Linked DNA regions of Coturnix japonica. The protein of the gene in region 1 interacts with the protein of each later gene in a biochemical or structural test. Links are inferred from orthologs where the notes say so. Each region holds a gene or a part of one and is shown on either strand. Other genes may lie near its edges.

Region 1 (11,172 bases):
ATCAAAGGAGTATCACTTGAAATGCTGTCCTCGTGGGTTAGTAAAAATAACAAATTCAAGAACTCTCAAGTTTGTTAAACCTTTTGCCTTTAAACTCATGACTGCTGCTTTAAATAAATAAATAACAACACCATCACCTAATAGTTGCTTGAAGCAAAACTCAAATGTTTTGGGCTGGCAAATAAAACTGGAAGATTTGGAAGATGGTGACCTTTACTTCTTGTGAAATGGGATCTCTATATTGCAGATAATGTGTCAAATGACCATACTCATTCTGCAGAATTAGCTGCAACTCCTGTTTGTTGTCTGGCATTGAGTCAGAGATTGAAGCTCTTGAAGAGTGGTGGGGCAAAACTGGTTGGCAGTGCGGTGTGAACAACTTATTGGTCACTTATGCATCCTATGCTGCACTATTTTTAGAGTAGGTATGCACAACTGGAAGGGCTGCCATCTGATGCTGAAGTCTTGGTACTGGTGGATGTTAGTGTTTTTTTTTTATGAGTGCAAATAAGAAGTCTATGGAAGCTGGTGTAAAAAACAGAGGAGAAGCTGAGGGGAGGCATTGACTTGTCCTATCATCTGGGGAGCAGCAATGGACTAGATGAATTTGAGTCCTGCTCCTAGTGCCTAATTGCCTCCTCATAGTGAACTAAAGAAGTTGGAAGAAAACACTGACTTTGAATGTGTTCTTTCAATCAGGAAGGTGGATATAGAGTTAGAGGTCAAAAATGTGAGTTTAAGGCCACATATTAGGTGAGAAAGAGGTGGACTAAGCCATGTGAATGCTAGGGAGTCCTTAGAGCTCAGAACTACTTGCTCTTATGGCATTTCTGCAGTGGCATTCTGGATATACTGTGTTCCCCTACTCTTCTTTACTCTTTCTATAATCTAATGACTTCCTGGTTATCAAATACATGTGTTGTAGCTGCTGACATATACATCTATTGTGTGTATGCCATGTGAAAAGCATAGAACTGTTAGTTCGCAAGTGATAGTTCAGGTAATATCATTATCTGTGTCAGTTGAATGCATTCTCTGAATGATACTTCTAAACAGTATTGTGTCTTTTTCTGACAGCATACCAGGGTACAATCTGAATATTACACTTTAATGGTGTTTATTTACTTCAGGTATTTGTGGGATAAGCAGAGGACACCTGTTCAATTAGTGGTCTATTAGTGGTTCAATTCTGGTCTACGGAATAGGCTCTGCTGAAGTTGGGATGGGACTCATGCAGTACACTCAGTCATTTCCTGTATTTTTCATGCAAGATTTCCCTGGTACTTAAGACATAACTTTCAACCATCTGAGGAACTCAGCACATAGGTTCTTATTTACTGAAGATTTCTTTAGGAAAAAAAAGTTCCTAGTAAAACTAATAATGGAGAGCTCCCTCTGGAGCTTGTCTTGTTGCATTCTTGAATTGAATTTGAGTTGAACTTCTCTGAGATTACTATTTTTTTTCCCTAAAGTTTCTGAGGAAGAACCCTCAAATAGTAAGTGACATGACTGAATGTTGCAGATTAGGCCTTTCTTAATGGGGGATGTGAGAAGCTAGTATCTAGTGAATGTCTAGATTGGGACTAAGGAGACCTTTAATCAAAAGTCGGTTTAAATTTGAAAGAGTATCAGAGGCATAGGCTGAAATATATAGATCTGTATGAAATATCTGAATCTATTTGGACTTGAGATCTGTTCCGAAAAATATATCGTTCAGTTATCAGTCTCTCAGTGACTTTGAAGCATAGCAAAACACTTGTGCTCCCTCTACTGGTTATGTAGTAGCTGTAATAATTCAGTTAAAAATTATAAAGCTGCTCAGTTTCTAGTTTCACTAAAGTAACTTCAAAGATACAGTTGGGAAACTGAGAAGGGTGGTGTTGTACTTTTCTACCCCTTGGTAAGTACACTTCAGCCTATTCTCTGAATACATTGTTTTGTGGGCTAATTCTTCCAGTGAAGTTAATTTGCTGTGCTGGTCTGTTTAACTCCCGCCAACACCAAATATAGCTTTCAAAAGTTTGATAATGCACCAGTGGAAGAGATACATAGACTTCGTTATCAGCAAGGGATTTTTCTGATTGTTCTTAATTAAACAAACAAAATCTTAGGTCTATTTTAGAAGAAGCAGGATGTCCCTCATCTCCCTTTCCTTCTAGATTTATGCTTGGAATTAGATTTGAGGAAGATTTTAATTTAAGCATAAAACTTGCAGTAAGGCTATGGGGATTGATGTGTATTTACTACTGGCTGTGAAAGTCTGACACTTCACTATTACTTGGGTTTACTATGAACTGTCTTAAGCTGGGTCATTTTAACCTACAATTAAGGGAGAAGTGAGTGACATTTATCACTGTGGAAACTTCTAAGATTATAAAAACATCTCCCTCTGTCTGGACATGAGATCTTGTTGATGTGCAGGTGTCTATGCCTGAACTCTCTGCAGGAGAGAATAGGTTTGTGAGTTGGGCAGGTTGTTGCATTCTGCTTGTGATCACAAGTTTTCTTCTTTTTGTAGGGATGTAATGTAACAAGCCTAGAAGTCAGCATATCCACTGTCTGATTTGGCAGTACTACTTGAAGCATTGGTTATTTCATACAGTGAGAAGGTTATCAGTTTTTACTGTTAGGTATTATCTAGTTGGTTCAGTATTTAAAAAAACAGTTAATTCTAACCTAGGTATTGAGGTCTTCGGTGCCTGTGTAGCTAGTTGGATGTTACTGAATCTAAGGTTGCTGGGTTTCTTTTGTTTGTTTTTGGTGTGGGGTTGTTTTGTTTTTAGTTCTGGATATATTTGTTCTGGAGTACATATGCTATTTTGGTTGTGTGCAGCCAATGTTGAGAACTGGCTTTCATGTATTTGATCATGTGTTTGATACTTGAATAGACTTATTCTCAAGATGGAGTTACTGAGACTGTCTGGACAAGTGGATCTTCAAAAAGTGGACCTCTTCAGGCATTTACTAGGGAGTCTACAAGAGTGTCAAGAAGAACACCAAGGAAAAGGGTGATGAGAGGCTTATTATAATAGAAAAGCATTTTTTTTCACTATTAGGGTCCCAGTGGCTATTTTATTCAACTGTTTTCTTTTGTTTTAAACAAACAGGTGGAAGCTACAGTACAGTTGCCTGTAGATGATGCTGTTATGTCAGAGAGTACTCCCATAGATGAAACTATATTGACTGCAAGCAACGAGAGCCTAGTAAATATGCTTAGTAAATATATTTAATGAATAATACAAGTAGTATTTTTTCTGTAATATACCTTTTATAATATGTCTTTACTGACAGAATTGTTTTAAACAGGCTGTTTTTAAAGAAAGTAGGACTTCTTTTATTCAGTAGTCTTGAAACCATATGTTCAATAGCATATTAGCGCCTAGTGGTGCTCACTTTGAGATGGGACTAGGTAGACACATGGTTTCATGTTTTTGGGGGGAGGGCTGAGAAGATCTGCTTCAAAAGCTTAGATCTCTTCTTAAATTAAGTACATATAGAATATCTGCTTTAGAGCTTTGCTTTTCTTGTGAACTAATTAGCTTCTATGTTTCTAAGTGGCTTAAAATAAACTATTTAGACTAAGCATTGTATTTCCTTTACTTATTTCAGAGTATCTGTTACATAACTTTCAGTGAATTACTAACATGCACATATTTGATGCAGATAAGGGTTATGTTGCTTAGTTTTGTCTCCCTTCCCCATTTTACTTTGTGTTTTGGTTAATTCTGAGTTTGAACAATTTTGAATCTCGGCAGGTTGGCAATAGGGTGCCTGGAAATTTCAAGCATGCAGCTCCTACATTGTCAATAAGTGAACCCACAGACATGCCCAGAAGAACACCAAAGAAACCACTGATGACAGCTGAAGTAAATTAAAACTTAGATTGTTATTGCTTACTTTCTTTGAAGAAGGTTCTTATGTGTATGGATTTATTCTGTAGTATAGAAGGGGTGGAGGGTCTTGTTGCCCAGGAGGCATGATCTTGTAACTAAACTAGCGTTGTCATATGACATCAAAAAGAGTATATATATATATGCATATTTTTATTTTATTTTATTTTATTTTTCTTATCCTTCCTTGTTTTTGTAAGGTGGAAATAATCCTCTTTTGGACTATTATTTCATCTTATGTTGTACAGAATGTACTTTTTTCTTTTAAACTACATGAATAGTTCAAAGAGTGGCATTATCTAGCTAAGTCAGCATATCCTGGGCGGGGAAATGCCTCAACTGAAGGACTGCAGTGGTAGGACTACTTGAAATCCAAAGTCAAAGTTTAGAAAGCAACTGTAGGTTTCTATTAGCTGTCAAGTAAGAAAACTGTTCTTATACTCTGTTAGCCTATTCAAGCTGTTGAGATTATTTGGATACATGTCTAAAAGCACTTGAGAGCATGTGATTGTAGTTGTTAATGTAGTACTGGATTACTGTTGAATGTTACATTACAAAATAATACTTGGCTGAATTTAAATGGAGTTAATTGATCCATGTAGACATTGTACGTAAAACTTGTATTAACGCTTGTGAAGCCTGCTCTACCAATGGATCTGAGATTTATGAAAAAGGCTACTTCCTTTGTTTATAGTAAGAACGACTGCAGTTTAGGCTTAATTGTCAAATAAGAAGGTTGTGGGAAAAGTTGATGTTTTATTTCAAACTGCATAGTATTTCACTGTACTATGACATTGTCTGTTACAGCGAAAAGAGACAGATTACCCACACCAATTCTTGTCTAATCACGTTGGCCGCCAACAATCCTGTGATGTGCTCAACACAGCCATGATAGAGGTGATTGGTTAAGTTTTTTCCATCATCTAGATCATTGGCTCGCAGATGTATTGTATTTATGACACATTCTTTATCTTAAAGGAAACTGAGGAGAGCAGTGAATACATTAAGACACCATACGTGGCCAGACAGCGTCCAATAATTAAGGTTAACTAAAAGTTCTTAAATGTCACTGGGTGGCTCAGATGCTTCCTTACAAACTGCACATGGTTTTGGACACTGAGATAGTTAAGTGGGAGCCTGCTATTATGAGGTTTGTTAAGCTTATAATGGTTTTTGTTTTTCTAGGTGCCAGAGAGAACTCCTACAGAAGAACGAAGAGTAGAAAGGGATATTCTTAAGGAAATGTTCCCTTATGAAGTATCAACACCTACAGGAATTAGGTATTGCTGTGGCTTAGGTGGGGGGGGCTGTTTCTCATTTCTTAAGAACTATTTAAGCTGAAAAGGGTCTGTTGATTAATATTGCTAGATTTCTGAGGAGCAGTTTTGCAATTCTGACTTAGTGGCAGTTGAGACAACTGTTGAGCTCTTCTGTTCTGCATACATAGTTTTATTAGCCAAAAAAGCCTTTTCTTCACTTAAAGTGAGGGAAGCAGGGGAATAATAAGGTAGCATTATAGCAGTAACTACTGTAGCAACTTGTTGGAGGTTAAATGGAAGAGGCCACTCTGTGGCTCCTACTATGGCTAGATACAACTGTTTTAGCCCCTGCTGTTAGTTAAGAGAAGGTCTCCCAGCATAGATTTGAGACTTCTTTTTGAAAGCGAAAAGTAATTTTCCAAGTCTTTTTCTGTTATGTAAATGATCCTTTGTGGTCAAGCATCACTCTTTGTGTGAATAAAGCTGGCATTGTGAATAGAAGGACTAATATTGCAAACTCAGTACTTGAACAAAAAACTGAAATAGCTCTCTGGATAACTAAGCAGTTGACAGAGCTGACTCCCCCTTTTGGAAATATTGGCTGCTACTGCATACTGATATCTGAAATTGAGTGGGGGCTGTGGAGTCATTGCTGCATTGGAAATCTTCCTAAGTTCATTAGGAAGCAAAAGATGACAGAGCAATGGATAGTAAAATGAAACAAAGAAAATGCAGTGTAATTTCTAAGAAAAATAGTTTGGGTGAGACTTAATTCAGATAGGTTAGTAATAATAGATTCTTGCAGTGGTTTCTTAATCCTTACTGCCTCATCACTTTGCTCTTTGCACTGATTTGGACATCAGTGATGTTTTAATGGCCTGAGGCAATCCTAAGTTTAGAGGTCCTGGAAAGACTGCAAAACTGATCAGTTAAGATACAGGTGCAGATGCTTCCTGGCATTTTATTTCTTGTTGTAATGGGAGTATGTGGGTAGGCCGACATAAAATGGCACTTGAGTGTTTTGTTTTTTAAAGGGATATTTATTTGAACTCTGAACAGTTAACCTCAACAATTGTAATGGTACATGCTAAAGCACTTATAGACAGGCATTTGAGAACAGGCTGAGGGAGTTGGGTTTGTTCAGCCTGGAGAAGAGAAGGTTGCGGGGTGACCTCATTGCAGCCTTTCAATACCTGAAGGGAACCTACACCCAGGAGGGGAGTAAACTCTTTGAAAGGGCTGACAATAGCAGGACTAGGGGAAATGGTTTTAAGTTAAAAGAGGGAAGATTTAGGTTGGATGTCAGGGGGAGTTCTTTACCTAGGGGAGTGGTATTAGGTCCTGGACAGGCTGCCCAGGGAGGTGTGTGGATGCCCCGTCCTTTGGAAGACAATCGTTGCCTTTCAAGACAGGCCTCTCCATCGCGACGGGAGCGGGGCCCTGTGCACCTGATCTAGTAAGGTGTTATGTATATAGGTGCCCTAGCCAGGCAGGGGGGTTGGAACTACATGATCCTTGAGGTCCCTTCCAACCCGGGTCATTCTGTGATTCTGTGTTTTCAGGTACTCTGTTCACTGGAAGTAATTTATAGTTCTTCAGTTATGCTAAAATTTTCTTGTGTACTTTAGATGGTTTTTTTAAACACATGGGTGCTTTTGTTTTCTAATTAACAGTGCTAGCTGCCGTAGACCAATCAAAGGAGCTGCTAGCCGGCCTATCGAGCACACTGACTTCAAACTGGATGAAAGTTTCTATAAGTATGCTCCAAAATACAGTACCTCCAGTGACATCAAGTCTGAGAAACCTTCGACGAAAAAAGAACGCTCCGTTCCCCTGTGGATAAAAATTCTTCTCTTTGTTCTTGTTTCAGTCTTCTTGTTTTCAGTTTATCAGTCTATGGAAACTAATCAGAGAAATCCTTTCGCTAAGTATCTGCATATGTTCTCTCAGGACGGTGCCAAATGAGTGTCTTTCTGAAAGGCACACCCCATTTTGATCTCCTGTTTTTAATTATAGAGAACTCTCCTGCCCTCTCATTGGCTCAAGGACTACTTAAAAATAATGTGATTGGAACCTGATCAATTGGATAAATGAAGCAAACTAATAAATGGACACTGGTAACTTTCTGGACTTTGGACTAGTAGACCACTTTGCCATAGGAGTAACACTTGGTGTTTTTATTTTAGGTCTTTGAACTTTTGTAGGCTTTATTTTTTTAATGTGGACATCATTTAAATTCATTTATGAGAAACTGTATATTTGTTTTTGCGGGATCTTGGAAGCTGAGAAGGGCAAAAATGTACTAAAATGTGAAGCTGTGTTTTTAAAGCTTTTTTCATTGTACAGGAAAGAAGTTGTACTTTTGTCTTGGTAGATCTTGATAGATGATGAAGGGGAGATGATTTTATAACAGGTGAATGAGGGAGATGCATTTTTGTATGCATTTATCAGTAACAAATTAACTGAATTGGATCTCTTAGGATATAGGGAGAGTACAACAGCCTTTTCTGTAGGTTACTGTAACTTTTTAGTAAATGTAACTGTAAACTTGTTTGCATTTCTGTAAGAGTCTTAGTATCATGTTAGTAACTGTTTAAGTGTAACATTTAAATGTATCACTTCATTTCAGTGCTTACAGTGTCGTAGGAGTTCAATATAAATTGGCCACGGATGTTTTAGAGGCACTTATTTATTAGTAATATGCGTGGAAAATAAAATTTGCATCAAATATAATTTGCTACTAAATACTTTTTTGGGGTAAAAGTTGTTATCTAAGGTAGTCTAAAAATCCAACTTTTAGCAGTGGTCTTTTTTCTTAATGTGAGGTCTCTCCATCACAGCTTTGTGATTATCTTTGAATATTCGTGTAGAGAGGTATTCTCAAAGTGTGAAGATTCCATATGAAGTTTTTATTCTTATATGAAGAGGGCATTGCTGCATTTTCTTCTCCAATTTCATCTTCTGAGGTGAGATTTACTACATTCATGCAGTTGAGTATTTTTCTCAGTGGAAGCATGCGAAAACACTCAATATTGTGTAACTTAGTTGAGCAGGCAGCTGACTTCACTACTACCGATGAGCAGTGATAAGCAACAACTCTTAAATTGAATGTATTCATTTTGACGCGCTTAAACCTGCAGCATCCAGACGTTCGGTCTCATTGCTTCGTACAAAAATGCAATAAAATCATACTTATTCTTGAAGTGCTACTTATGAAAAGCTGAGAACTTTAGTTAATGGTCTATTTTTACTATAGGTACAATTACTGTGTAGATTAGCTACGGGAGAACGTTACTTTCTGTGACCTCTGGGACAAAGATGGTAATTTGTAGCAAAACTATAGGTTTCTTCTGTTAAGGTTTAATGTTTGTTTGTTTTTTTTTCCTTTTATCCGCTTTCCGAGTAATCCAAATAGCTGAACTTATGTCCATCCTATAGCAAATTGTAACACGTGACATTCACTTTTTTTGGTGTCAAAATGCAGAAAAATAAAAATGATTTTAATGTGTGTGGATTTTTTTTTTTCCTTATCGAAATAAATGCATTGCTGGAAAGAAGAAAGCAAAAGAAAGATGACCTGTGTGTCAGTGCTTGTGTTCTGTGCTGCTGTGTTATTTCGTGTTTATGAAAGTGGATTATTCTGGTAGTAAAACTAGAGTGGTTCGTATCAATAGGTGATAAGGGAGAATAGCCATAATGGTCCAAAGCATAGTCATGAAAGGCTGTTTCCTATTGCTGCCTATTGTGGGCCAGGAATCGGATTCACTCCATGTAATTGCAGGCTATTGCTGTTTTATTCCATGTCTGGGAGAAGCTGAAGGGATTTTCTGCATAACTTAAAGGCATTTAGCAGAAATGTAAGTTATTCCTGTACTTCCACTGGGATGTTAGACTCTGCCTTGTTAACAGCGCAGAGGTTAGAAGTTAATTGTCAGCTAAAGCCAAGTGCCAGGCTGTTCTACAGACTAATTTCAAGTATTAGTACTGGTTATGTGTCCAATTATAGATACAACTACCAGTAATTAGATGTTATTGAAGTTAATAGCAAGCCTAACAATTGCGGCCCATGCTCCTTGCCGTCCCCTCAGTGACACCCCGCCCTTCCTCCCCGCTGTGGGGGAGGGGGAAGGGCGTTGGCGTGGATCACGCATGCGCGGCGGCGCCGGTTCGCGGGGCTCTTCATCCAACCGTCTCGCGGCTTCTTGTCTGGCGGCTCCGCCCCTCGCGTAGGCGAAGGACAAAGTCTGTGCGCCGTGCCCCGTGCCAGCCTCTGCGGGCTGAGCAGCGCTGCGCGCCTGCCGCCATCTTAGGAGGTGAGTCGGGGCGCCCGGCCGGCAGGGCCCGGTGTGCGGCTGGGCCGCCGAGCCCGTGCCGGGTACGGGACCGCCGGGTACGGGACCGCCGGGCCCTGCCTGAGCGAGGCCTCGCCGCCCCATTCCGCTCTTGTCGCCCGCCTCAGGTCGCCATGTTCTCGTCCATCGCGCCGCTCGCGCGGCTCAACCCTTTCTACGCGCCTCACTTCCAGCTGTGTCAGGATGGGCTGAGGAAGCGCGCGGAGCCGGCCGAGGCGCCCACCACGCGGCGGAGCCTGGCGGCAGCGTCCGCCTCCGAAGGTGAGAGAGGGACGGAAGGTCACGGTGCGGGATCGGGCCTGTGCCCGTTGGGACGGGGAGCGGTCGCTGCGGGACGCGGGCGGGGACGGGCCGGCGCCGGGCCTACGCGCGGCCGCTTGGAGGACGAGGAAGGGCACGCGAGGGGGAGGCGCTGGCGGCCCCTTCCGCTCCACGGCGGATCGCGCCGAGCGGCGAAGGACGCGAGAAGGTCCCGGATCGCAGCCGTGGTGTAGGCCCCGCTGATGGCTGCCCTGGGGCTGCCGGATCGCTGCTTCGGGCTCGTCTGAGCCTGTAGGCCCGTGCTTCTGACTGCGGAGAAGACCCCCGAACATATATGCGTCTAAAGCATCCTTTTTTTGTATGTGTGTGTGTGTTTTATTTCTATCTGGACATACACGAATGTTGAATAGCCTGCAGCTATTCTGTATTGTTTTATTTGATTTTTCTCCTTAGTGCTTCAATAGATAGAGGTGCATAAGAATGCTGTGAAAAGACACAGTGATGCTCCTTAGATTTAAGGCCGAGACCTTCCTGTGTGTTACCTAATCACTGCTGTGACTTCCAAAGGTCAGACCTACCGGTAGTGGAAGTAGATGTGAAAACTCATGTTCCTATATGCTGCCTATAGGAAAATGTTTGCCTGCTTTTATTAAAAATTCAATCCTATAAAAGGTTCTTGATAGGATTTCTGTTCTAAAGCCCTGTAATTACTGAAGTCTGTTAGTGCTGTTGTGTGAACTTCCACGTAGCACTTGAAAATGACAGAACTGAGTGTTGGGTTTCATTGAATTTAAAAGAACAAACGTTGGCTTTCAGTAGTGGTAACTTTGCTCCTAGCTAAATAAAGCCCTAAATCACCATTCAGCATGCTAAATATATCCTGTATGAGCGCTTATTTCTTGAAAGCATTATGTTGAATCTTTATCCATTTTGTAGGTAGATAAAATCAGAGATGATATATATGTTTCTTTATTTGTTCTGCGTTTTCATTGTTTCAGTTATTAATTGTTACCCTTTTGTTCTGTGAGAGTAACAGAAGATATCTGAGCTTATACAAGGTCACACAAAGTCATTAGCAGAACCCACAAGACCTTTCAAGTTCAGCTCAGGGCATCAACCATAACGCAGCTATTGGAATTTGTCCTTGTTAATGGCTCAGATCTAAAATAAAGACAACAGCTATATTACAGCCAGGGTTATTTCACTTAAGAGTGTAGACGTGTCTTTGTGCTGTGTATTTATATTTGAGTAGCTTTAGGGCGTTTGTTATAAGTCAGTGCCTAGGTACATGAGTATGTCTTTCCTGTAATTTCCTCTGCTGCGATGTTAGCTCATTCTTTCCTCAGGTAACAGTTTTTAAGGAGACTTGGTTACACTCTGAAACAGAAAATAAGGTATCTACTATGGTTG
Region 2 (12,253 bases), on another chromosome or scaffold:
TCACGGCGGCCGCAGCACCACCCCGTGCGGAGCCCGCGGCCGTACGCACAGCCCTGAACGGGCCCCAGCGGGAGGGCGGGGGGCTGCTGTGCCGCCCCCTCTCCCCCGAACGGCTTCGGTTGTGGCGCGGTGGTGCTGAGCGTCTCTGTGGGCGTTCCTCTGCCTAAAGCTGCTTTCCGTAGGGTGTTAACGAAAAGGCACGAGTGTTTGATAAGAAGGGCTTGGTTAAAGCCCTGAATTTCTGTAAGTTTTAATGGGTGTTCGGTTTAAGGCCAGCTCTATCACCAGGAGTAGGAGAAAATTGCGGTGAGGCACGGGCTGCTCAGGGAGGTGGTGGAATCACTGTCCATAGTGCAGCTCTCCCACTGAGGGGTGTGGGTGTGGTGGGGATGGGCTGACAGTTGCATTCTGTGATCTTGGAGGTCTTTTCCAGCTATAGCAATTCTGTGATAATCTCAGAATTGCAGGTTTTGCGACACAGCCTGAAGACCTGCAGAAAGAGCTGATTTCTTCCACTAAGTGTTGGTTCTTGAAAAATCTGACTTGATTCAGTCGCTTACCATGCTGTACACTGTTGTAAAAAGCTTGTGGAAAAAAGAAATCTTGTGTGATTTGTTAATTTTGATTTTCTCTTAAATCCAGTCTCATTTCTGCGTTTCCTAATGAAAAAGACACTTGTGTAAGCCAACACACAGCTGTTTCCACATGTCTGCAGGTAGCTCAGTGCCTTCTGGGCTCTTTGCTTTTGCATAATGTGTGGTTCTGATTGTTGGATGGTCCTTTTGGTTACCCTTTGGTGATCACTGGTACACTTCCATCAAAAAAGAGATGAAAAGGGGAAGTGGGGTGTAGCTACAGAGGGGCATCCAAGTGACTTGGAAAACCAGGCAGGGATTGCCACCCCTTTTGTGACTTCATGGGAATGACAGGCACTTCTCAGAAGCTGATGGCCAGTTACACATGGGCTTGGGGTGAAGACACAGTCTACAGTAAAGAAACAAACAAACAAGCATTTTGGCTTTGCAAATTCTTGTCTGTATCCTAGAGTGGGATTCACCTCATGCAGAAGCAGTGCAGGTGACTGGCTGTTCAATTGTCTGACGCTGGCTATAGGAGGCACAGTCCAGCTAGCCATCCTCTGCTATTTGATTTTTTTGAGGAGACTCAGTTGTACTCACAACTTTGCTTTCTTTAGTCAGTGAAATGTTCTTCTGGTGTGCTTCATTCTTTTTTTTTTTTTTTTTTAATTCCAAGAATCTGTTTATTGACTGCCGAATCAGTGCACAATAATAAAGCTACAGGTTACTTTCCACTTTCTGTAGTGGTTTTCCTACACTATAAAAATATATGGGCTGCTCTGAAAGTAATGCCTTCTGCCATCTTCCCTGGAAACTAAAACAGCTACCCAGAGCATAATAACAACTATTAAAATAGTTGATTTAGGAAACTTCTCTAGAGATTCACTGGTGGTTGTCCAGACTGAAGTATGCTCTCCTGTAGAAAGAGATGGTGTGATAAAGGTAACTGAAAGAAACTGTCGTTTATCAAAGGCACTAATAGAGGATATAATGGTCATTGATTACCAGCTGTTGTAGGGTGCATTAATTTATAAGGAGGTAATTTTGGCAGAAATCTAGTTCTGTGTGGTTTTCATATGAAAGAGCTTAATTTTCTAGTTCTTCTGCTTTGTTTTCAGTTGGTCTGCCTTCTCCATCCTTACTCAGAAGTGGATTTCTGAGGTGAGATTAAGTAGTAGTAGCCTAATATTGGTAATGGCTAGGCTTACACCTGTTATTGTCTTCTAGCTTGAATTGGTCTGCAAGTGTGCGGCTGGTTCCCTGAGCAGCTGTTCAGAAGAACCCTATGGCGTTAGTGCCAGCCAAGTTCTAACAGCTGTTCCAGGGTTTCCCGTGCTGCGCATATGCTGTGCTGTAATGAGCTAGGGGTACAGTCTTGGGCAGCTAATCTAACACTTTTCGAAGTGTATTTCAGGACAAGAGTGGAATGGTTTTAAACTAAAGGAGCGAGGATTTAGATCAGATGTCAAGGGGAAACTTGAAAGGATGGTGAGGTGCTGGCACAGGCTACCTGGAGAAGCTGTGGATGCCCCATCTCTGAAGGTATTCAAGTCCAGGATGGGTGTGGCCCTGGGAGCCTGGTCTAGTTCTTGAACTAGCAGCTGGCAGCACTGCCTGTGGCAGGGGCATAGGAACTTTGTTCTTGTGGTGCCTTCCAAGCCAAGTCATTCTATGATTCCTGTTATTGTGGGTGATGTTGAGAAGCAAAGTAAAGGCTGGGAGTTAGGGAACAGTTAAGCTTTAATCTGAACCCTGTCACTTTTCTCATGTCTACCCTACAGATGGCATCCCAAGGAAGTAAGGAGGGGAGTAATTAACTTGTTGCACTGTAGTTTAAACAAGGGATATGTAAGAATGATTTAAGAGCATGTCATCCATGCTGGGTAGGATCATCCTACAGTGATGTGTCTACTTGATGTGTCTACTATGTGTAACTTGAAGCAATAAATTTGGGGGTTAAACTGTAGTGACAAATTCCAGCTAGTTATGAAGTGTGAGATGTACTGCTGCCAAATATAGTCAAGTTATGAGAATGTTATTTTATCACGTGCCTGCTGTATGTATGTTCCCACCCTGGTTTAGACAACTCTATGCAGCTTATTCTTCATCTCTTTTTGGAGTTTTGACACCTGATATTGTTTTGTGTTGGTTTTTCTTTGGGTTTTTTTAATTTTCCATGGGATCTTATTAAACAAACTCATTCAGTATGTTCTGCAGAAATTTTGTGAGTGCTACTGCTTCCACTGAATAAACAGGCTGTTTATAATGTGGTGTTTTTATGTAAAATTCAATGTGGTGGCATTTTGGAGCTGTGCTCTCCTCATTTTGAATTTCTGTGAACTCTTTACTGCCATTTTAAGATTTGTTTGGTCAAGATTATGATGTGTTTAAGTAAATGAGGCAAAGGAGTCACTGCAGCCATGATACCACCACTGTAATGGACACAATCAACTGATCACAGGTGTCTGCATCTTCAGTTATCTAATAATGAGACAGATATGGAAACACATCAGACTTCCCTGAACCATAAGTGCTTATACTTGTACTCTTCTTTTTAAAACCTGTAAAAATAATTAATTTTGAGCAGTGGTTTGATGTACATAACGCAAAGGCTGTTCTAAAACTGATGGTTATCATTCTTGAATTCATATGGTCAACTGAGCTCTTCAGAAAGAGGGCTGAGTGATGGGGGTGGTGATATGTTTAGCCATAATTTCAAAGATTCACCATTTCCAACTGTATAAAGTTGATGAAATAAGAAGTTAGAACCAAGTTACATATATTAATCTATATAAGTGGTGAGCTTAACCGGTGTTGTTTATTGTCATGCTGATACGAATACATAATAATCATCAGTGCTTCCAGACAGATACCTTTTCTGTTTTTATGAATTGTATTCTTGTGAAATACAACTTCATTATATTCTCTGCCTTAAGGGAAGAAACATAGGAAAGCATTGCTTGATGTCTTGTTTAACTAGCATTCAGTGACTAGATTTGTTTCTCCACACACACACACCCCTCAACTTGAGCGCAGTGCTGGCACAATGTATGGTACCATGTAACTTTACATAGATGTAGCTTTGAGCTACTTTATAATTAATTACGCTTGCATAGTTGTTTCAAGAATTGGCTGATAAATGAATGTTTTTTGAGATTACTGCTGGCAGCTCTTAACTCTGTGGCTGTCCAAATACTGTCAGGAATGAGTGGGTGCATGTTGGGAGACAAGAAAGGCGTTTTCCCTAGGTGGCTGGCATCTTGCACTTGGAACTTGGAGTTGTGTCCAGGCTCAGCTTGAGGTCTAGCTGCTCCTTGAAAGTGATGGTCTCACTGCTTCTGCTTAAGCACTGGAATGGGCTGCCCAAGGAGGTGGTGGAGTTACCAACCCTGGAGGTGTTCAAGGAACATTTATACGTTGTGTTAAGGGGCATGGTCTAGTGAGAACTATTGGTGATTGGTTGATGGTTGGACTGGGTGATCCCGTGGGTCTTTTCCAACCTTGGTGATTCTGACTTTTTTCTGCTTTAGATGTGTGGTTTATTGGATGCTGGGGAATATAAACTGGTATGAAAATATTTTTGTTTCTTAGGTAGCTTTTCAGCTAGCTTAGTAAGAAATTCAAGGAAATTGCAGGAAAGTTTAGGATGTTTCATGAACTTCAGAGTTTACGAAAGAGGAAGGGTGGTTGCAAGAACATGAAAAGGGATCCTTCCTCTTTCCCTGAGACTCAGTGGCACGTCTGTTTCTCTGAAATGCACTCTTAAATTCTGTAGATAATGCACTGGAGCAGTGGTAGCACCAGTGACATTTCAGGAGCTTTCTGTTAGTTTTAAATGGGCTGCCACAGGTAACCAGACACAACCATGGTACCTTAGAATTGTGTTTGTTCATTCTGTTTTACAAAGTGTGCGATGGGAATGGTGAGCAAACTGAGCTATCTAAAATGCTGTGTCTTGGTTACAATGCTGTGGGTCTGAGAACTTTGAGTGAATGTGAACAGGGCATATGTCTGCAGCTGACTGAGTTACCAGCACTCCTCAGAGTGGCACTGTGGCCTACAATGGAAGCTGATGTTGGTGGTATGGCAGTAGAGGTTGGACCTTCCCACCAATATCCTATTATATATGACCAGTGGAAACAGAGGGGCAGTTTGACACAATGGTGTCTGACATGGAAGTGTGAATAAAGCAAAGGTGAGGCATTACATTCCTTTGTGGAGAAAAAATGTCACCCTCATTGACTCTGGCTGAATGTTTTTGGAGGCCAGTGTCTGTGAGCACAGTGAGGTGGGTGGTGCCTTTCAGCAGTAGCAACCGCACCAGTGGGTCACCTCTGCTGCTGTGGATTGTTATAAGCGTGGCAATGCAGGCTTCTGTTTATGACTAGCTAATAGTGGTTGCTATGTTAAAAGTGTTTACACTGATTCTATCAAATAGTGATATTGTGATCTTTTTATGTGTTGTAGGTTTCAAGGAAATAAATAGGGGGCATTACTTTGTGAATGGCAGTTTGTGCAAGGCCTTATCTAAAGCATTACTGGCTACAGCTTCTATTAGTGAGAGCAGACAGGTAATACCAGTTGAGAGTCTCCCTGCAGTGTGTGTCTGAGTTAAATGATGTGGGTTACGTTTCTGAAACACCAGTTCTCCCTGAAATCCTAAGAAAATAAAGAGGAACTGGCTTGGCTTTGGTCAGATCTTGGTTCTGGCTTATTTTGAAATAAATTGTAATTCCTTAGATGAAAAGATACATTCACTTCAAAGTCCGAAGAGAAAAGCAAGTTTCTTCTTTGAAGAGGCAAGCTAGAAATTAATTATTTGCTTTTATTGCTTTCAGGAGTGAAACTACTTGGAGTACAGTTCTAGGTAATTGCTGAACATGGCAGTGAGAACGTACTTGGGGGTTGGGCTTTCTTATTGTTGCTTTGAAATGCAGCTTCAGCTTTTTGTGGTGGAAAAAGGTGTGTGAGGTATATGTGTGATGTTTAGAGGTTTTTCTGATCTTGTTGCCCTTCTTCTGTGTATTCCTTTAGGGCTGGGAAGACACCAATGGAGTGATGAGATTTAGTCTGGCTTTCAGCATTTGAAGTGTTTAGCTCTTATTTGTTCTCTTCCTGAGAATATATTTAGATGAGCTCTTTGATTATGAAGCAACTCATGACAGTATTAACTAATAGCACTTCAATTCTGTCCTTCCCTTCTGTGACCTTGGTCACAGTGAGAATCTTCTTGTCTTAGAGTCTGGGTTAATACAGGTGGGATTGCACTGCTGTATAGGTGACCCACTTTGAGGGCCAGACTTGTAGCTTTAGGATCCAACTTGACAGGCTTGATTTCAGCTTTGTGAGAGTCTGTGTGAAGCAGTTTCTGCATGTTGTGAGCAAAGTATTAACCAGTGATGGTCAGGCAGTGAAGGCTTGATATAGGCCCTCATCAGTCTTAGTAGATAATGCAGAGGTTTCCGCTGTATTCATACCATCGTGGGATGATACTTCTCCTGTTTTGGTTTTTTGTTGGTTTATTTTTATTTTTTTTTACCTCCAGTGCCATATGGGTTTTCTTGTACAGTGAATTTCTAGCAGGCCTGAGTAGGAGTGGAAGGGACAGAGCTGTGGGCCTCTGGTGAGTAACAAAGGGAGCTTGGAAGTAGGGAATCCATGTGGCCTAAACCTAAATTATTTTCTGCGGTTGGTAGGTGAACCCAACTGTTGGGTCTAAGCAGTCATATGTGAAACCTAATTGAGCAAGTGGATAGCACTGAGCAGCAGAAATGTTAATAAATGCTTGAAAACAGGTTTGATTTCAGAATAGCCAGTGCTTGTTATGCTGTGTACTGCATCAGTATGTGTTCTGTCATTCAGAGGAGGTGGCTTAAGGCTAAGACTGTTACATAAAGCCTGCCATCTGGTGGTTGTGTGGCTTAAATTGTCTCCAAAATAATTCATACAACTTCTTGATAAGTCTTGTGCATACCCTTTTCTCTTGGAAATTGATATTAATTGCATTGCATGTTATCTTGGAAAAGCCACTTAAATTTAAGCTTCTCCTCTTCAAAATTGTATGATGATTTGATGCTTGTCTCATTTTACTGAGAAGCTTTGCTGTTGATGCTTGTAAGTGCAGTACTTCAGTTTGAGAAGTACGGGCTGAATTCATGCTCTAGCCCTTAGGATCTAGTTATTAAGCATCTTTGTTTTTGTTTTTTCTTCCAAGAAAATGTGGAAACTGAAGTCTGCTAGCTGTTGTCCTAATCTATTTGTTCCTCTAGGATGAGTGATGGCTGACTATAAATATTTAGAATTCCTGTGTGCTGCTTCCTTCACCTGAGAAATATGGATATCCTGGAGAGGAAATAATCCAACTTTTAGAATTATTTTATTTTTCTCATTTGATTGCCTTGTTTGCATATACCTTAGAGAATAAATCCATTTGCACACCTATATAGACCTGAAAGCTAGCTTGAACAATAACTTGAAAACAACATTGGCCACTTTTTAAAAATAAGGCACTTGTACCTTATCACCAGTGCAGTTTTGTTGATGGCAGGCTATTATGTTAAAAATATTTGGGTATCTTTGCTCTGACCTGTGGAATTTAGCCATTACGTGTAATTAGAAGGGTGCTGCAAAATAACTTGCTATACTACAGCTACTGTTCATGGAGTGTTGGCTTACACATAGTGAACTTTAATTTTCATTAAGAAGCTAGTCTGTTAGTTGAAAGAGGGCTGTTTGCAGGCTGGACTGTAGATCTGCACAAGTTCCTGCGCAAGTAAAATGAGCTGCAGAGATTGTTTCCACTGTATGAAAAGGGTGTTATTTCTACCTATTGGAACTCTGAGGATAGGACATTTTAGAGTGGCTTGTGAAGGAGAAAACAAAACACAACTTTTATAAAACAGTTTCCACTTTCCATTTATACATCACTTATAAAATCCCTTGACATTCAGTTTCCCATATAATAAGGTTTCTACAGTTCAAGTGAAGTACAAAGCTATTGCTGTGTAGTATAAGAGAACAGAACTAAGTAGTTTGTTTAAACTAAAGTAATTTAAATAAGTGTTTAGATTGCAATTTGTTCTTCTGGTCAGCACCCTTCTTTGGGCCATTTCTATACTTCCTCTTGCTTTCCCTGTTTTATTCCAGCTATGCAAAAAAGGATTCTGATCTTAATGCAGCTCAAGTCAAGCTTCGAGAGTTTGAAGCAGCGCTGAATGCTAAAGAAGCTGCACTGGCCACAGCTCTTGGTGATAAGAGAAGTCAGGAAGAAGAGCTTGAGGATTTAAGGGATCAAATTGCACAGGTGAGAAGAAGAAATACTTGACTATGGAACTGCATGTCATTGTGGTAAAATGCTGCTTTGTAGCCAAAACGTAAATGTAAATCTAGGACTTAAATTTTGCTGTCAGAGTTCAAGAAAGTATTGAATAAGTATATGTTCAGTATGGTTCAGTGTATTAGTAGCATAATTATAATTAGTAGCATAATAGTAGAGCGCTATTAAAATGTCAGGCTATGTGAAATATAAAGGATCATACTTCTGTGGATGAACAGATCAAGCGTTCAAAATAGACTTAAAAATTGGAGAACTATTTCTAGGGAGTGACTGTGGTCATTAATATAGATGATGAGTAACTGATCAGTACTGCTTTTCCAGAAAGAATCTGGAAAGTACAATGGACCTTGGACTGACTGCAGAGAGCAGAGTTGTAGCCTTCACTTAAAGGACTGCTACAGTCAGTTGTTCGTGTCAGTCAAAATCAACCAAAAACTGATAGATTTAAATTGCAGCAAGGAAGATTCCTTAGGGAGTCTTGGAATAATTATTTAGTAAAATAAATTAAAAAAAAAAAAAAATTAAAAATTGGTGACGCAATGAGAGATGGCTGGAGAATGGCTGTAGTTGTCTTTCATAGTGGGTAATGACAGATGTACTGAGCGCATTTGATTTTTCCTGAAGATACTTCCTGAAAGTAGTTGAGTTGGAATGGCTGGAACTTAAAAGTGTTTCCTATGTTTAAGTTTGTGATTCTCTGTGCATTTCTTTTAGTTCTGTCTGTGGCACTCTGTCTTCAGGACATCTGATAGCAAGTATAAAATAAAACAAAAAAACTTACAGTTTTGTTGGCCCTCTGAAGTACCTTAACTGTGATTTTAAGCAAAAAGAAAACCAAAACCAACAAAAAAATACCTTAAATGAGTCTAGGAGAAATCTGGAACCAAGAAGTTGTTCTCTACCAAGTAGAAAAAATGAAGGCTTGTTAGAACATTTAATAACTATCATTAACAAGAATTTTATCTGTATGTATAATCTATAATTCACTTGTGCAAGCAATCACAAAGGAGACAAAAAATCATTGCTTTTAGATACCAAATTAGGTTGTCAACCTCAATCTTAATATCTAGTTAATGTACCTGTGGGCAGATGAGGTATTTGTGTTATGTGAGTTTTGATGCATAATTGTTGTGCTCAACTTCTGTGTTTTTTCCTAAAGCTCAAGGTTTCTTTAGCTGCAGCCAAGAAAGAGCTTGCAGATGAAACTTTACAGAAGGTGGATCTTGAAAATCGTTGTCAGAGCCTCATTGAGGATTTGGAATTCCGTAAGAATATGTATGAGGAGGTAAATTTTTTTTTTTTTGTATTCTTGAAGGACAGAAGATAAGTGAAGGGTCATTCTGAAATAATAACTTTATGAACTCCCATTCTGAGTAGAATTTACTTGTATCTGGTAGGTTTTCATCTTTTTATTACAGGCAAATAAGAAATCAGAACTCTCATAAATGATGAAATAGCTTTGTGTGTCATGTCACCTTGCCTCAACCTCCTTTCAGGTCATAGAGTGATAAGGTCTCCCATGAGCCTCCTCTTCTCCAGACTAAACAATCTTGATTTCCTCAGCTGTTACTCATAGGACGTCCTTCAGCACTGGCTTCATTGTCCTTTTCTGGATACACTCCATGGCCTTTATCTTGTAGTGAGAGGCCAGGCACTGAATGTGGTACCCAAGCTGTGGCCTCATCAGTGTTAAGAACAGGGGGGTGATCATCTCCCTAGTACTGCTGGCTACACTACTGATATGAGCCAGGATGTTGTTGGCCTTCTTGGCCACCTGGGCATACTGCTGGCTTGTGTTTAGATGAGTACTGACCAACACCCCACAGATCCTTTTCCTCTGCACAGCCTTGCAGGTAACTCTGCCCCAGGACTGAGGAGTTGTCTGGGGTTGTGATTGAAGTTCAGGACCCAGTTCTTGGTCTTGTTGAAATTCATCCCTTTGGCCTCAGCCTGGTGATCCAGCCTGTCTAGATCCCTCTGTAGGGCCTTCCTACCCTCAGGTAGATGAATACTTCCCCGCTCCTTAGTGGCATCTGCAAACTTACTGTGAGTGCACTCAATTCCCTTGTCCAAATAATCATTAAAGGTATTAAACAGGACAGACTCCAGTACTGTCACCTGGGGAACACCACTGTTGACTGGATGGCAACTGGTTTTAACTCCAGTCACCACCACCATCTGGACCTGACCCTTCAGCCGGTTTATAACCCAGAAAAAGTGTGTCAGTCCAAGCCATGGGATTGCCAGCTTCTCCAAGAGAATACTGTGGGGAACTGGTGTCAGAGGCTTTGCTGAAGTCTAGGCAGACTACATCAACAGCCTCCAGTCCTCTGGGACTTGACCAGGAACCCTAATAGTTTATGGAACCAGCTTGGCAACCACCTCTGCCAGCTCTCTCAGCACCCTTAAGTGGATCCCATCTGGGCCTGTGGACTTAGACAGTCCAGATAGAGCAGTAGGTCTCTAATCGTTCTCACCTGAATTGCTGGGGCATTTTTCTACTCCACATCCCAGGCTTCCAAGCCAGGAGGCTGAGTGCCCCAAGGATAACTGGTCTGAGTGTTGAGAACAAATGTAAAGAAGGCATTGAGAAAGTCATCTTTTTCCTTACCCTTACTTGTTGTGTTCCCTGCCACATTCAGTGGAGGACAGAGGTTGTCCTTCATCTTCCTGTTACTGATAATATATTTGTAAAATAATTTTTTGTTGTTGTTGCCTGCTAGAGTGGCAAGGTTGAACCCATACTGGGCTTCTGCCTTTCTAATATTCTTACTGTGTATCCTAGCAGCTTCTTTGTATTTTCCCTGAGTTGCCTGTCCCTTCTTCTACAGGAGGTAAACTTTTTTTCTCCCAGAATCTCAGTAGAAGTTCCCCGTTAAGCTATGCTGATTGTTTTTTCTGCTTGCTTGTCTTGTGGCACAGGGGAATAGCCTACTGCTGTGCCTTTAAGACTTCTTGAGGAATGTCCAGCCTTCCTGGACACCTTTATCCTTCGGGACTGACTCCCAAGGGATCCTCTCTACCAATGTCCCAAGCAGCTCAAAATCTGCCCTCCAGAAGACCAGGATAGCAGTTTTGCTGACCCTCTGCTCCTGACTTCACCAAGAACAAAGAAATCTTGTGATTTCATGGCCATTCTGCACAAGACAACTCCCAGTCAACGCATCTCCCACCAGTCCTCCTTGGTTTGTGAACAGCAGGTCTAGCACAGCACCTTTGGCAGGCTCCAGCAGTATCAGGCTATTATCTTCCATGCATTCCATTCTAGATTACTTCCTCTGGGCTGTGTTGCATTTCCTGCGTATATCAGGGAAGTTGAAGTCCCCTGCTAGAACAAGGGCTGGTGATTGTGTGACTTCTGGCAGTTGCTTGTAGAATGCCTTGTCTGTCTCTTCATCCTGGTTAGGATGTTAGGTAACAGGCCCCCACTAAGATGTGAGCCTTCCTGGCCTTTCATTTGATGCCCACCCATAGGGTCTTGATCTTAGCATTCCCAGCCCCAAGCTTTACAGCATCAAAACACTCTTAAATACTGAGACCCACACCACCATCCCCGCCTTGTTTGCCTGTCACTTCCAAAGAGTTCATAATCGTCCATTTATGTGAGTGATCTCACCATGTTTCTGTAATGGCAACTAAATCATAGTTTGCTTGCCATACAATGCATACATACATTGCTTCTAGCTTTTCCTGTTTGTTGCCTGTGCTGTATGCATTGGTGTAGCTGTACTTCAGCTGAGCTGTTGGCTTCACTCCAAACCCTGATATCATTCTCCCGGGCTCATCACTAGCGAGTCTAGCTTTAATCCCTTTCCCCTTCATACCTAGTGTGAAGCCCTCAACTTCTTCAATAAATACTCGCAAGACTTCCTGAAACTTCTATTATTACCTACTCATTGGGTAGTCAGATTCTAAAACTTACTTTTCCTTGTTTATTGAATGGTGATTTTATTATTTTTTTTAATTTATTTTTTTCTTAGGAAATCAAGGAGACGAAAAGAAAACATGAAACTCGCTTAGTTGAAGTTGATTCTGGACGTCAAATAGAATATGAGTATAAACTGGCCCAAGCACTAAAGGAAATAAGAGAGCAGCATGATGCACAAGTGAAACTGTACAAAGAGGAGCTTGAACAGACTTACAGTAGCAAAGTGAGAATGTTCTTTCATACAGTTGTCTGATTTACTTTGTTTTGCTTTGTGTAACGGAGGGATATCCTAACAATTAGATTTCAGAGGATTTCATTTTGGCATTTGGTATAAAATCAAGATGTTTTTGAAGGTAAATCTGCATTTTTAGTTCTCATTTTTGGAGACAGTTAAAACTTAAACAGCACAAA

The links.
Region 2: the proteins of TMPO (region 1) and LMNB1 form a complex in vitro, tested with the Homo sapiens proteins (2 studies listed by BioGRID). The link is inferred for Coturnix japonica from reciprocal best matches to the Homo sapiens genes TMPO and LMNB1.

Annotation. Positions count from the first base shown.
Region 1 is NC_029516.1:42,484,218-42,495,389, forward strand, and holds the end of TMPO (thymopoietin), read left to right. Parts: intron 1-2,888; coding exon 2,889-3,008; intron 3,009-3,107; coding exon 3,108-3,203; intron 3,204-3,755; coding exon 3,756-3,866; intron 3,867-4,697; coding exon 4,698-4,787; intron 4,788-4,868; coding exon 4,869-4,934; intron 4,935-5,075; coding exon 5,076-5,170; intron 5,171-6,822; coding exon 6,823-7,114; 3' UTR 7,115-8,658; downstream 8,659-11,172. Other genes in the region: SLC25A3 (phosphate carrier protein, mitochondrial), read left to right, coding at 9,615-9,762. UniProt on the Homo sapiens protein: May help direct the assembly of the nuclear lamina and thereby help maintain the structural organization of the nuclear envelope. Possible receptor for attachment of lamin filaments to the inner nuclear membrane.
Region 2 is NC_029547.1:50,118,770-50,131,022, forward strand, and holds part of LMNB1 (lamin-B1), read left to right. Parts: intron 1-7,724; coding exon 7,725-7,881; intron 7,882-9,073; coding exon 9,074-9,199; intron 9,200-11,894; coding exon 11,895-12,065; intron 12,066-12,253. UniProt on the Homo sapiens protein: Lamins are intermediate filament proteins that assemble into a filamentous meshwork, and which constitute the major components of the nuclear lamina, a fibrous layer on the nucleoplasmic side of the inner nuclear membrane.